Drosophila melanogaster: one gene and its partner. The protein of the gene in region 1 interacts with the protein of each later gene in a pairwise test. Each region holds a gene or a part of one and is shown in the gene's direction. Other genes may lie near its edges.

Region 1 (8,933 bases):
GTCAGAAACCACAGTGGAAAAAACTCGTTTTCCATCTATTTGGGTCGCCAACAGCAGCATTCATTTCCAGTTGGGAAAACCATAAAAGAGAAAACTTAACTGGCGAAATGATCCATGCGACATTGTGACGAATAGTCAACGCAAATTATTAGTTTTTGCCACTCGATTACGAGCAGTTTATTGACTTCTTCAGGTTCAAGGTCGCACAGCCCAAAAAAAAAAAAAAACCTACGAGAAACCAAAACAAAACTCGCTTTTATTTACCATTGACTTCATACGATCGTCGCCCAGCGAAACCCTCCGCGCATACTAATCGATCCGAATGCGATCGAGTGCGTCAGGCGGAAGACCACTGGCACACTAACCGATCTGTTCTTGAAAACGTACGCCAAAGAGCCAAAGCTTGGGTCATTATGATGGCGGAAGTGTCGCCTGCGTCTTGGAATTTTCGTTTTTCCAGGGTTGCCAGGGCTACTTACATTTTGAAATTTTGCAGAAAGGTTATTAAGTATTCAGAATTTTTAAGCAGCTCTTTACTTTTAAAATTGTTATAGTTAAGAATGTCTAGGACTTGGATATCAAAGTAAGTTTGCTAACCTCATAAATAGTATAAATTTAAAGAAATTACAATAATATTATAAACCACATAGATTTTTAATTTTTAAGTGATTCACTTTTTTATGGCTACAGTGGAAGTGTTAAGATTCCAGGGTTGCCACGGCAAGCCAAACTATACCAATTGTAGACCAAGCAATAAGCGAACGAAAAGCTTGTCAAAATTATGTATGTCTCATCAATATACTTTGTGTCGTCTGTCGTTACGATAATTAAAAAAGCGGAAGTGTCGCCTTTTGACTTGTGTATGTATTTTGAAGACGGCTATAGATATTGCTTTTTAGCACAGGTATTGTTAGTAATATACATTTTTACAACCAAAACCATCTAACCAAACACCTTAACTAATAGGAGCAAAATCTTTACACTTCATTTTAACTAAGTATTTTAAGATTCAATTAAGTTTGAATTGAGCTATAGCCTTCGCAAATATTCACACATTGCAACGCATTTTACAAAATTATGTTTGACCATAAATAAGGTTAAATACGTAAAGTTATAGCTATTAAAATAGCAAGTATTCTCAGCAGCATTTAATTTGCTCGGCAGTTTTCGCTTAATGAGTCAAACTCGGCAGATCAAGTTCCATGCCAAGGCCAACACTGGTTTCCCATTTACCCAGCTCGTCTATATGGCCATTCGTATATTTCGCGCTCACAACAGATTCTTAAGATCAACTTCAAGTCTGGCCGGTCAACCTTGGCCACGTATCGAAGTTTTTTGCTCGGCCACCAAGTAGACGAATCCAATCTGCGGGCAAACATGTGCAGCAACTCCAAAAGGAGCCAAGCAAACAAAGCACTCGATGGGGGTCATAAGGCCTGATTAAAAACCCTATAAATACGCGGCTAATGTGCGTTAAGCGCTAAGCTAAGTTAACTAGCTGTTACCGGCAATCTTATCGACACTTCACTGCCCCGTTGACGGTGCAAAGTACGCACGGGTGCAAAGCGAATTCAAATTGAGATCGTCGTTGTGGTCGAGTCCCAAGTCGAGTGTAGGTTTTTTTTCCCCCTTTTCTAATACAGTTCCCATCGAACTATTGTATTTGCGATTTGGATTAGTTCTACCTCACACTCTTTCCTATCGTATCAAATCTCTGTGGATCTTAAGTGCTTGCAAATGCCTTTCAGACCGTAGCATCAGCTCTTCTAGAACTTGTAGAGGAAACTATTAGTATTACAGAGGCAGCTCTTTATAGTTTATACAAATTAATACCGTGTAACAACTTGAAGGCATCTATCTTTATAAGAAATACACATGATTACAAAAAAATCAAATTTCTAAACTCACATTTGTCAATACAAGTGCAATTTATTTCAACCGCTAGTCAATGATAAACATTATCTGCCTTCGTTCAGTGTGCAGGTTTATTTATTTTGCCGATAGCTTCTTCAATATTGATAAACATGGGCCAAACAACAGTTACAGTTTAAGTATAAAACTCTTAATCCTCATAAGTGATAAGATACTAAGATGTGTAAGAGTTCTGTTCCAATGATTATACGATTGCAAATGAAAATATAAACGTCAGATTTAGATATCTGTAGCTATTGGTTAAGCTTTCTCCCGGAAAATTCAAAAGCCCTTGAAACTGGCTAAACAAATACGATTTTATCTCAACCTTCCCGTGAACTTTGCATTACTCAGCTCGAAATTAGCAGCGTCATTAAGTTGTGGCTCGCATGGTCGGACTAGGTTACCACGTTCGGATTGAATTGCAACCACTTCGAGCGGGTTTATCTCTGGGTTTATCGCATCACGGCTGTTGCGCTTGTCGAGCTTCGATTTCTGTTGGCTATTTATACAGACCCCAACCACTAACCATAAAACACACGCGATTGATGGCAAAGATAATGCCGGTACGGCTACTATCCTCGACTAGCCGCTAATCAAACACTTTCCCTCCAAAACTGAGTAACATATCAATATCCGTTGGTTATACACGTTATTTGTGGATTTTCCATTGCAAAGAAGATACGCTATCTTCAAAAATATTGTCTAGTCAACACACTTTTATATAGCACTAACTAATTTAGCATTGTTCGTTTGAAGATTCCTCGATTTATCAGGTTTGATATTTAATTTACTAATCAAATTTCCCCTTAACAGAGCTCTCTGGGCCTATATCAAGCTGCTGAGGTACACGAAGCGCCATGAGCGGCTCAACTACACGGTGGCGGACGTCTTCGAACGAAATGTTCAGGCCCATCCGGACAAGGTGGCTGTGGTCAGTGAGACGCAACGCTGGACCTTCCGTCAGGTGAACGAGCATGCGAACAAGGTGGCCAATGTGCTGCAGGCTCAGGGCTACAAAAAGGGCGATGTGGTGGCCCTGTTGCTGGAGAACCGCGCCGAGTACGTGGCCACCTGGCTGGGTCTCTCCAAGATCGGTGTGATCACACCGCTGATCAACACGAATCTGCGCGGTCCCTCCCTGCTGCACAGCATCACGGTGGCCCATTGCTCGGCTCTCATTTACGGCGAGGACTTCCTGGAAGCTGTCACCGACGTGGCCAAGGATCTGCCAGCGAACCTCACACTCTTCCAGTTCAACAACGAGAACAACAACAGCGAGACGGAAAAGAACATACCGCAGGCCAAGAATCTGAACGCGCTGCTGACCACGGCCAGCTATGAGAAGCCTAACAAGACGCAGGTTAACCACCACGACAAGCTGGTCTACATCTACACCTCCGGCACCACAGGATTGCCAAAGGCTGCGGTTATCTCTCACTCCCGGTGAGTGCAATAGCTTTTCTGAACTAAGTTTAAATGGAAAGGTTCTAAACAAATTTGTACTTTAGTTATCTGTTTATCGCTGCTGGCATCCACTACACCATGGGTTTCCAGGAGGAGGACATCTTCTACACGCCCTTGCCTTTGTACCACACCGCTGGTGGCATTATGTGCATGGGTCAGTCGGTGCTCTTTGGCTCCACGGTCTCCATTCGCAAGAAGTTCTCGGCATCCAACTATTTCGCCGACTGCGCCAAGTATAATGCAACTGTAAGTGAGATTTATGGCCTAACTAAATCACTCTCTAATTTGGCTTTTGTGATTTCCAGATTGGTCAGTATATCGGTGAGATGGCTCGCTACATTCTAGCTACGAAACCCTCGGAATACGACCAGAAACACCGAGTGCGTCTGGTCTTTGGAAACGGACTGCGACCGCAGATTTGGCCACAGTTTGTGCAGCGCTTCAACATTGCCAAGGTTGGCGAGTTCTACGGCGCCACCGAGGGTAATGCGAACATCATGAATCATGACAACACGGTGGGCGCCATCGGCTTTGTGTCGCGCATCCTGCCCAAGATCTACCCAATCTCGATCATTCGCGCCGATCCGGACACCGGAGAGCCCATTAGAGATAGGAATGGCCTATGCCAACTGTGCGCTCCCAACGAGCCAGGCGTATTCATCGGCAAGATCGTCAAAGGAAATCCTTCTCGCGAATTCCTCGGATACGTCGATGAAAAGGCCTCCGCGAAGAAGATTGTTAAGGATGTGTTCAAGCATGGCGATATGGCTTTCATCTCCGGAGATCTGCTGGTTGCCGACGAGAAGGGTTATCTGTACTTCAAGGATCGCACCGGTGACACCTTCCGCTGGAAGGGCGAGAATGTTTCCACCAGCGAGGTGGAGGCGCAAGTCAGCAATGTGGCCGGTTACAAGGATACCGTCGTTTACGGCGTAACCATTCCGCACACCGAGGGAAGGGCCGGCATGGCCGCCATCTATGATCCGGAGCGAGAATTGGACCTCGACGTCTTCGCCGCTAGCTTGGCCAAGGTGCTGCCCGCGTACGCTCGTCCCCAGATCATTCGATTGCTCACCAAGGTGGACCTGACTGGAACCTTTAAGCTGCGCAAGGTAGACCTGCAGAAGGAGGGCTACGATCCGAACGCGATCAAGGACGCGCTGTACTACCAGACTTCCAAGGGTCGGTACGAGCTGCTCACGCCCCAGGTTTACGACCAGGTGCAGCGCAACGAAATCCGCTTCTAAGAGCTGCAATAGAGTTGTGTCTGAACCTTGCCTTTTGCCCAATATGCTGTTAATTAGTTTGTAAGGCTAAGTGTAGTAGAGGAAAATCGGGGGAAATCGGCAGCAAAGATCATTCAGCCTAGGAGAGATGCATCCGAAGCACATTTCCATGTCAACAATGCACTTTTGTATATCGTAAGCATATATATATCGTATATCGTAAACGTAGTTGTATCTGCATTTGTGTAGATGATAGCCTCCTATACGCATTTCAATTGTTTTTAGCGTGCTAAAGAACCTTGTTAAATGCAATTTCAGCTATTGTTTAGTCAGTTTTAGTGGCATTTACACTTCCATTCTCGTTGCGTTTCGTTTTTGCCTGTACATATGAGAAGCTCTGATGTTTTTGTATCAAATAAAGTTTATTCCTTCACCACGGACCACGTATTTAAATTCGCAGTCTATCGTGCGGCAGAATGACACCATTCCACCTGCATACAAATGATTATGTGCGATTCGCTCCTCGACTCTCCGATCTATAGAAATGCATAGAGATATACTTACACTCATACCCATGCTGTGAGTATTCAATTAACCAAACTTGAACCTTGTCGACGTTCAAGTGCATGAAATTAACGAGAATTTTTAATAGCATTATATAATAATCTGTGAATCAGCTAACGACAATAACGTTTAATAGAAGATGCGCCCTTAATTTAATTATGGTTCTACTCCGCTTTCTGTGATTTTTGAAAAGTTGAGAATATAACTACTCACTGCTTGCTTACTCTTTCATTATCGCACTATTAGAGATACCCATTTAATGGACAGCAATTAAGGGGTAATTATATTCTAGCAGTTAGCTTGTTTAAGCCAGTGCTAGTATTGGTAGCATCATTCAATCAGAAAACGTTTCAAATCTTTTTGATATTTTAGAAGAATAATGTAACACAATGAGTCTTTCTTTCAAAGAAAAACCAAATAAAGTACTTACACATCCACTTTTAAGAGAACTTAAAGAATATCTCAATTTCTTTGGAACATGCTTACTATATCTGGATATTAGGATGATAGTTCCTAATAGTTCAGAGCTATTCCATTTGATATTAAACTTTGCAATGGAAAATTCAAATCAGTTGGAGGGCGGGCGAAAGAAAAAGCTCTTTCCCTCGCAGATCCTAAATATGACCAAGTGGGTGAGTCTTCCGGGTGACTGGCAGATCGGTAGGAAGCAGCAGCTAGTCGAGAACCGTTATCAGTGGCGGCAATAACAAGCGAGGCTTCAATTCGCTTCCAGTGCAAAGAAGATTATTGCAGTTGCATTGCCGGGTGCGATCCGCCCAGTTGTCCACGTGTGAGTACGGATGATTGTCGATCGCTCGATCGATTTCATACAAAGTGTGTGAGGTGTTTACCTCGAGTCCAGAAAGTCAAGACCAAAACGCAACGATGACGGGAACAGCGGCAGTGCGACTCAGCATTACGATACCCACGAAGGCGGAGGAGGAGCGCCTGAAGAAGGTGTACGTCCAGGTGGTCAATGGAGAGGTCGCCACGCCCATGGGTACCGCCAGCAGAACCTCAACCATTGAAAGCTTATCGACCATTCGGATCGGGGAATCCCCGGAACGGCAGAGCCACAAAGTCCTAAATACCTTGCCAAAGATTGAAATTCAGACGTGCCACGATCAGCTGCTTGATATCCCACTGGACACGGACCAGGAGCAGGTGGTGCGCCAGATCCTGCACAGATTTCACATACCCAATGCCGTTTGGCTGCCCAGTCTAGAGGGTAATGCTTACCACATCAGCTTCTCCATGGACTTTGACGAACGCTACGAGAATCTCTATGAGGCGCTGCAGGAATTCGGCATCGGTGATCGTGAGGGATCTACAGTATCCGTGGTCAGCTGCCTGGCCCACAGATCCTACGTTCAGCGTGAGGATACGGAGGAGCAGGAGGACCAACCATCGAGCACAGAGTAAGTCAAATGAAAATGGAAAAGTTCAAGCTACTTCAGTTCACAGGATCCATCATCTACAGACACATCAATGCCCAGAAGCAGGGTATCTGGGATCGGTTCATGAACTCGGTGCGATCCCGATTGAATGTGGCACAGATCGTAAGGGATGTGCGCCAGGATGCGGCTATTACCTTCGACTTTTGCATACTCCTAGTTTCGGCGGCGTAAGAAGTCACTTTTAATATAAATATTATAGAATTGGAATTTGGAAAAGTGCCTAGTAAAAAACGATTTTCCAAGATTTTCATTACCTAATTAAATGGAACTAAGCTTGTAATACAATCTTGTTTCTGGAAATGATCTAGAAATTTTCGAAATCCAATATTCTATATCTTCAAGTTGTAGGATAACACCTGTGATAACACCTATTCCCTTACAGAGTTCTGGCGAGCTTTGGCCTGGTGGAGAATAGCACGATTTTCCTGGCCTCCAGCATGCTCATTTCCCCACTGATGGGTCCCATAATAGCGGCCATCTTTGGAACTGTGATCCAGGATCGATCGCTCCGCAGGCTGGGCATGCTGAACGAACTGATTGGTATACTGACCGCCACACTGGTGGGTTTCCTATTCGGTCTGGTTGTGTGCACCACGGATCGCAAGTATGGCATTGGTGAGGGACTGACGGAGGAGATGCTATCCCGCTGCGATCTGCACTCCCTCGTCGTTGGGGTATTCACGGCCATACCGTCGGGAGCGGCGGCTGCCATCGGAATCCTGGGCGGGAATATTGGTTCTCTGGTTGGCGTGGCCATATCGGCATCGCTGCTACCGCCTGCGGTTAACTCCGGTCTGCTGTGGGCGGTGGCCTGCATTTACAAGATATTCGAGAACGACGATTCGCTCTACGTGGATGTGATTAAATCGCGCCGCTACTCGGACAACCAGGCCACTGAATTGGCCGTGCTCGGCGGCATCAGCATGTGCCTAACTTTGTCCAACGTTCTGTGCGTCTATCTCATGGGCATCCTGGTGCTGAAGGTAAAGGAGATTGCCCCGGTGATTGGGCGCAAAAACCGACAGTTCTGGAAGCACGACATAAAGCTGGCGCGTAATGGCAAAGTGGAAACGGAGTCGGAGATACTCAACGAGCTAATAGCCAATCTGGCCACCGAAGACAAGCACGCACTGGGCTCCATCAATCGTCAGTTCCTGCGCCATCTGGACGAATCAAACTACCAGCACACTTGGTCGCCGCTCAGCAACCGACATAGTTTCTCAATGCCACAACCGCCTGGCGCCGGCATCTCCACCATCCATCGCCTGGAACAATTGTATGCGTCGAGAATAGGGTTTAATCCACCAGCAGTAGAACGACGCCAACGCCACAGCGTAGTAAGCAGACCATCGCAACGGAGCCACGAGGTCTCCGTTCAGCTGAGTCCTCCACAGCCAGTAAGTAGCACACAAAGCTGTCTTGTCTATCCCGAGTGCTCATTTCGTGTATTCCAGCGTCCACGATTCGCGAGCATGCCATCGCAAGTGGGAAAGGACGAGCCAGCTAGGGATGCGGCCATCCAAGTCGCGAGCTCCAAGAGATTTACGGTAACACCAGCTCGAGTGGACGAGCAGACCTAGAATGTTGTCAAGTCCATTTGGGTTTCCACTCTCACAGATCTTTGTATAATATTTAAATAATGTAAGTGTCAATTTTGTAAAGTTAATTAGTTGTTATACTCCAGCAGGGGGTATGTCCGTACAGAATCTGTGATAGTGCTAACCTGCAATGGCGTCCATAGCATAGTTAAGCGTATATGTGTAATGTGCATCTTTGTATAACAATTTCCAATAAAAAACTACAAGTCTAATCCGCTCGGTCCCTGCCGATCCGCTTTGACTTGGGCGCGACCACGTTTCAGTTGTAGACGTTCGCGGACCGCTCGCTCCTGGCGCCTGCGCAGCTTCTCCAGTGTCTCCTCGCTGGGTGGCGCAGGTGCCACAGCCTCCTGGGAGCGTATGATGGTGCGCAGCTTCTCCAGCGCATCGGCCAGGTTCATTTGCTGGGAGCGCGTAAGATCACTCTTGATGTAAAAGTAGCCGTCTTTGGTAATCCGGTTTGCCAGCACCTTGAGCAGCTTCTGGCGCGTCTGCTCGGGTATCCAGTCCGCTTGTGCCACCTTGAAGCGTACATCCACCTTGGTATTCACCGTGTTCACGTGCTGACCACCGGGTCCGGAGCTCCTGCTGTAGGTGATCTCCAGTCGGTCCATGGGAATGAAGCCGCTGAACTTGTCGCTGCCACTGGGCTGGGTGGGGGATGTATACATATATCAATAGATGGGATCCCTGAAGGCACTGCATCCACT
Region 2 (4,812 bases), 2.1 Mb from region 1:
GGCGAGGAACCAGAATCGAGTCTTAATCTCTCCGAGGACATATGATTACTGAGGGTGTTTTCAGATTCGACGGAGTATGTTGGTGTTGGTCTAGGCGTTTTCGGATATTCGACGCGAAGACGACCATCGGAGAGTACAGATGGAAGCCTACGTTGGTCATCTAGCTCATCTGGTGGCCCTTTAGCAATGGAAGGATCAGACGAGGTCCTCTCCATCATGCGGACTGCTTCCGTAAAGCTAGCTTTGGGCCTGCGCATATGTGGTTGGTGGTCGGGACTTTCTGCTACTGCTTCTGAATGTGGACTCAAGCCTGTTGTTTGATTCTGCTCCCCCAATTGGGTTAATAGTTTCAATATTACATTTGTCGGATCTGAGGGTCCTGCTGGCTGGGATCTCTGGGCTGCCTCCACGGCTGCAGTGACCATTGCGCGTCCCAATGTTTCGTAAATCGTCCTTATATTTCCCACATCTGGCTGGTCAATGGTGTTAGTACATTGATCCCGATGTCCAGGAGTTGCCTTCTCTAATTTGACAAACTCTTTCTGCGCTACGTGGACTCTTAGAGGTTCCTCCGGGTTCAATGACTTGGCATGGCCACAGCAAGGACACTCCGTCGCCATCCTTGATCCTTGCTCATTGTTAAACCTCGGAGGTGGTATGTAGATGGGCATAATACGGTCTTCTGGTCGAAGAACATAGTACACCGGTGGAGGTTGGTTTATGCTGCGGGAGAAATGACGAAACTGGCTTTGCGAATTCTTCCGCTTGGGTGTCGCATATTCCTCGGGTCGGATTCTTAAATTCCTTCGAGGAGGAGGGACATCCGTTGGAGGTCTTACATTCGGGGCAATGGAGACCGATCGACAAGGTCGCTCTGTCGATGTTCTGGAATTGGGGAACAAGGGTATCGTCTGCACCGAAATGGGCATGGCCTGCATCTGTCCACAGGAACTGGGCTGTTGGGACACCAGCTGGATCATAATGGTGTTCGGTGGACCTGTGCCGCTGGTGACCCTCGACTCCATCGCTATGGGAGATTTATCACGAGCAATTTGTAATCATTAATATCGCAAATAATTAGTTGTGTGACACCTACTGCGATTTAATGTTATATTTTGGAGTTTTATATTTCGATATGTATGGTATACGGTATAGCGGATGGGTTGATTAAAAACCAGGTTAGTAGTGCGGTAGTGCTATCACCAACAGTTAAGGGTAGTATATTAATATAAATATAAATGCGTAATTCTAATGACTTGTTTGCGTTAAGAATGTGGGGTTCCCCACGGTTAAGTATTAGGTATTTGAATAGAAGCCCCCAAATTTAAATTTCGATTATAAACCTTACTGTCCTAGTTTTGTACTATATTTAACTTATTGATAGGAGTGCTACCCAGTTTGGATTGTGGCACGCGGCATGACCTTTACGACACATCCATATAATCAAACTATTGCGTCAACAAAACTTAGGGGCGCGTACAATGCGCTGAGATACAGATACAGATACGGTGGGCGATACAAGGTGCGATTATTTTGAAACGATTTCATGTCGCTGCCAAAATAGAATTTCGCACAGGCTTCCCGCCAACGGAGATAACTGCTATTGATGAAAGCCAATATCAGTGCCGGTCTGGGGTATATAAGCTTGCGAATTCGCCCAGTTAAAGCACACTTACGAAACCAGTGGGAACTCAATTGCACCATGAAGTCCGGTAAGTTAGCTGAGCAAATCGAAAAGGAATCCCCATTTGAAATATACTTCAACCCTTTGCCGATCCCATAGCACTACTTTTGATCTGCCTTGCCTTCTTCGTGGCGCTCCTAAGCACCGGAAATGCGTGCGATCCCAATTCTGACAACCAGCCCGACTGCAGCGACGCATCCAACGTGCAAACGAACATCCGCAACTTCTGGGATCCCACTCGCTACTGGTGGTGTGAGTCCTCCACCTCCACGGCCACGGCTGTGTTGTGCCCGTTGTCCACTGGATTCGACCCCACAAAGAAGGAGTGCGTTTCATGGAGCGAATGGTCTTGGACTGCTTACTGTTGATTGCATTTTTAATAACAACAAAAATGAAAATATATGGCAAACTAAATGATTACATACATTGTTTGGATTTTTAAAATATCTCATGTTCTTGCGAGTATTCGAAGATATGGGAAAATGTTATAGAGCAACCTAGATTGGTATATAGAATATTTTGTTTCTGCTCAGTCGCTTTCTATAGGATGTTGAGTACAGTTGAGTGTTAACGAGTTTCATTATTATTTGTAAATAACATTTTTGAGATGTTTTTGTCCAAATGATATCTTGGAAACCTATAAAGATTAGACAGTACTCGTATTGCTACTAATTTGCATTTAATGCAATAAAATGTTTATGAACGAGAGAAAAGTAAATTATACTTTATCATATAAAGTATAAACAATATACTTTAATTTTACAAACAACTTTATTTTTTAACTAGAGCTTGGTTTCAAAATTTGTTTGTTTATTTCAAAAACACTGTGTCTCAGTGTGTAAAGTTTTACAGGGTATAAATTGTCTAAATAGGAGCCGGTCAATTCAAACAAATCATATGCAAATTTTTTGTTCAATAATATTTTAATATCATAACTAAGTATACTACAACACTTGGTGAAATATACTTCTTTGTTTGAAAACGAATTGTACGACGGCGTCAAATGTTCGAATTGTCGAGATACAGATACCAATCGTGATCATGAGATTATTTTTAAACGATTTCATGTTCTTTAAGAAATAGAATGTATAGCTCCGATTGTCTCAGACAATATGTCAGGGAATAGATAGCAGGTGGCTATAAAATGTCGAACGTTGCGTTCCAATCGCATTCGGTATTAATCACTCGAACAAACCACAATGAAAGCAGGTGAGTTTCATTGATGACCTCACATCGCTGAAACCATTGAGATGCCAATAGCGGAATTCTGTTTCAGCTTTAGTCCTTCTCTTCCTGACCCTCTGCGTTGCCATCTACGCCGACCTTGACTGCAATCCCGATGGCAATGGTGAGCCCGATTGCGTGGGACGCTCCGGAGAGATTTCCCGTGACTTCTGGGATCCAACCCACTACTGGCAGTGCTCTAGCACCGGACAGGCCGAGCTAGTTGCCTGCGAGCAGAACACTGGATTCGATCCGAAAACTGGAAGCTGCGTCGATTGGAGCGTTTGGCAGTGGTATCCTCCATGTTCCGAAGCATCCACTTAAGCAATAAACTTCTCTTGCAGTTTATACGTTTTTCATTAACTTTTTTTGGTTCATTTGTAATGGTATTTAACTGGGAAGATGGGCTTGAATGAAGTCTAGAATATATCTCTAGATTTCTCGGATCTTTATCGAATTTTTAACAGAGTATTTAATGCTTGAAAAGGTTAATGTTCCGGGTGATTATCTCGTTGGGAAGTGTAAAAAAAAGGGTTAGTCCGAGGAGGAATTAAATAATTGATCTCACAGACTATTAGCCCTCGAAATGTACAAGTACGCAACTTGCATTTTCTCCATTTTCGCTTTATGGAACTTTTGGGGCGTCAGTGCCAAAAAGCAGGATACTTCCACAGGAACAAATGAATTGCCAAAAGCACCAATGCCGTATTATACAATCGAGAATATTGATATGCACCAGCAGCACTGGTTTACCTACAATTCGCTAAGACAAAATGGAACTTTGTGGAGAATTGGTAATATGGAGCAACGCTTAGAAATGCGATTGCAGTCCTTTCAAAACCAGATGGAAACTAAACTTCGGGCTCTAAAGCAACAAATTGAACCCTACATGGAAAACGTTAAAATGTCCAACAAAATCAAAATGTCCGTATTCAAGAAGATTGGCTCCCGGCACTTTTACTTAGAAAAGCAAAAGAAGATGCCCTGGGATAGCGCATACGACACGTGTCGTCAAATGGGCGGTCACCTGGCGAATATCCTCGATGAGAAGGAGCTGAATGAAATATTCTCAGAGGAAACCAAAAAAAAGTACTGGGTAGATATCAACAGCCGTGCCAACGATGGAGCGTCCTGGATTTCTACACTATCCGGAAGGGATGTACCATTTCTGAAATGGAAGCCAAATCTGGCCACAAATATACATAACCATTGCGTGTATATCAATTCCAATGAAATGTACTTTGAAAATTGTGCCAATGATAACTATTTTGCTTGCCAAGCCGAGCAATGGGCCTGAATATCGAGCATTGATTTTTAGAACTATTTTAAACTTTAAATGTGACTTTGATAATAAAGGTTTAAAAATTGAACTCCTTTAAACTTTAATATGTATTTTTTTTAAATCATCAAAATTGCAATGTGTCTTTAATAATAAAGCTATTAACTTTAGGCATTTTATATTTTTTTTTTTCAATACACCATAGTAGATTTTCATTTTTTTTAATTTTTCCAGCCTTTTTGCTTTTCACAGTGATGCTTTAAAACGGTTACATTATCATTAAAAAGCGTGACAAAATTAGTTGAGCTCATTGGAAGTTCTTTAGCCAGATTGGATCTCACACGCTTGAAATCTTCCAAACTGGACATGTACGCATCTAACCTCTTATACCTGTTGGCATTATGGAACCTTTGGGATCTCAGTGGTGGGCAGCAGGACATTCCGAACGGAAAGGCTACATTGCCAAGTCCACAAACGCCGCAAAATACAATCGATCAGATTGGTATTAACCAGAATTATTGGTTTACATACAACGCGCTTAAACAAAACGAAACATTGGCAATTATTGATACAATGGAAATGCGCATAGCAAGTAGCTTGCTGGAGTTTAAGGCCCAGATGGAAA

The links. The genes of interacting proteins can lie anywhere in the genome.
Region 2: the proteins of CG7384 (region 1) and Peritrophin-15a interact in a two-hybrid assay, tested with the Drosophila melanogaster proteins (one large-scale study listed by BioGRID).

The regions. Positions count from the first base shown.
Region 1 is NT_033779.5:10,507,359-10,516,291, reverse strand, and holds CG7384 (uncharacterized protein), read left to right. Parts: upstream 1-5,838; 5' UTR 5,839-6,053; coding exon 6,054-6,586; intron 6,587-6,648; coding exon 6,649-6,792; intron 6,793-7,007; coding exon 7,008-8,022; intron 8,023-8,079; coding exon 8,080-8,205; 3' UTR 8,206-8,423; downstream 8,424-8,933. Other genes in the region: Fatp1 (fatty acid transport protein 1), read left to right, coding at 2,728-3,357, 3,423-3,624, 3,684-4,625; CG6094 (uncharacterized protein), read right to left, coding at 8,424-8,873.
Region 2 is NT_033779.5:8,392,953-8,397,764, reverse strand, and holds Peritrophin-15a (Peritrophin-15a), read left to right. Parts: upstream 1-1,668; 5' UTR 1,669-1,702; coding exon 1,703-1,712; intron 1,713-1,783; coding exon 1,784-2,052; 3' UTR 2,053-2,100; downstream 2,101-4,812. Other genes in the region: CG13385 (uncharacterized protein), read right to left, coding at 1-1,025; Peritrophin-15b, read left to right, coding at 2,884-2,893, 2,961-3,232; lectin-29Ca, read left to right, coding at 3,495-4,205; Acp29AB (accessory gland protein 29AB), read left to right, coding at 4,554-4,812.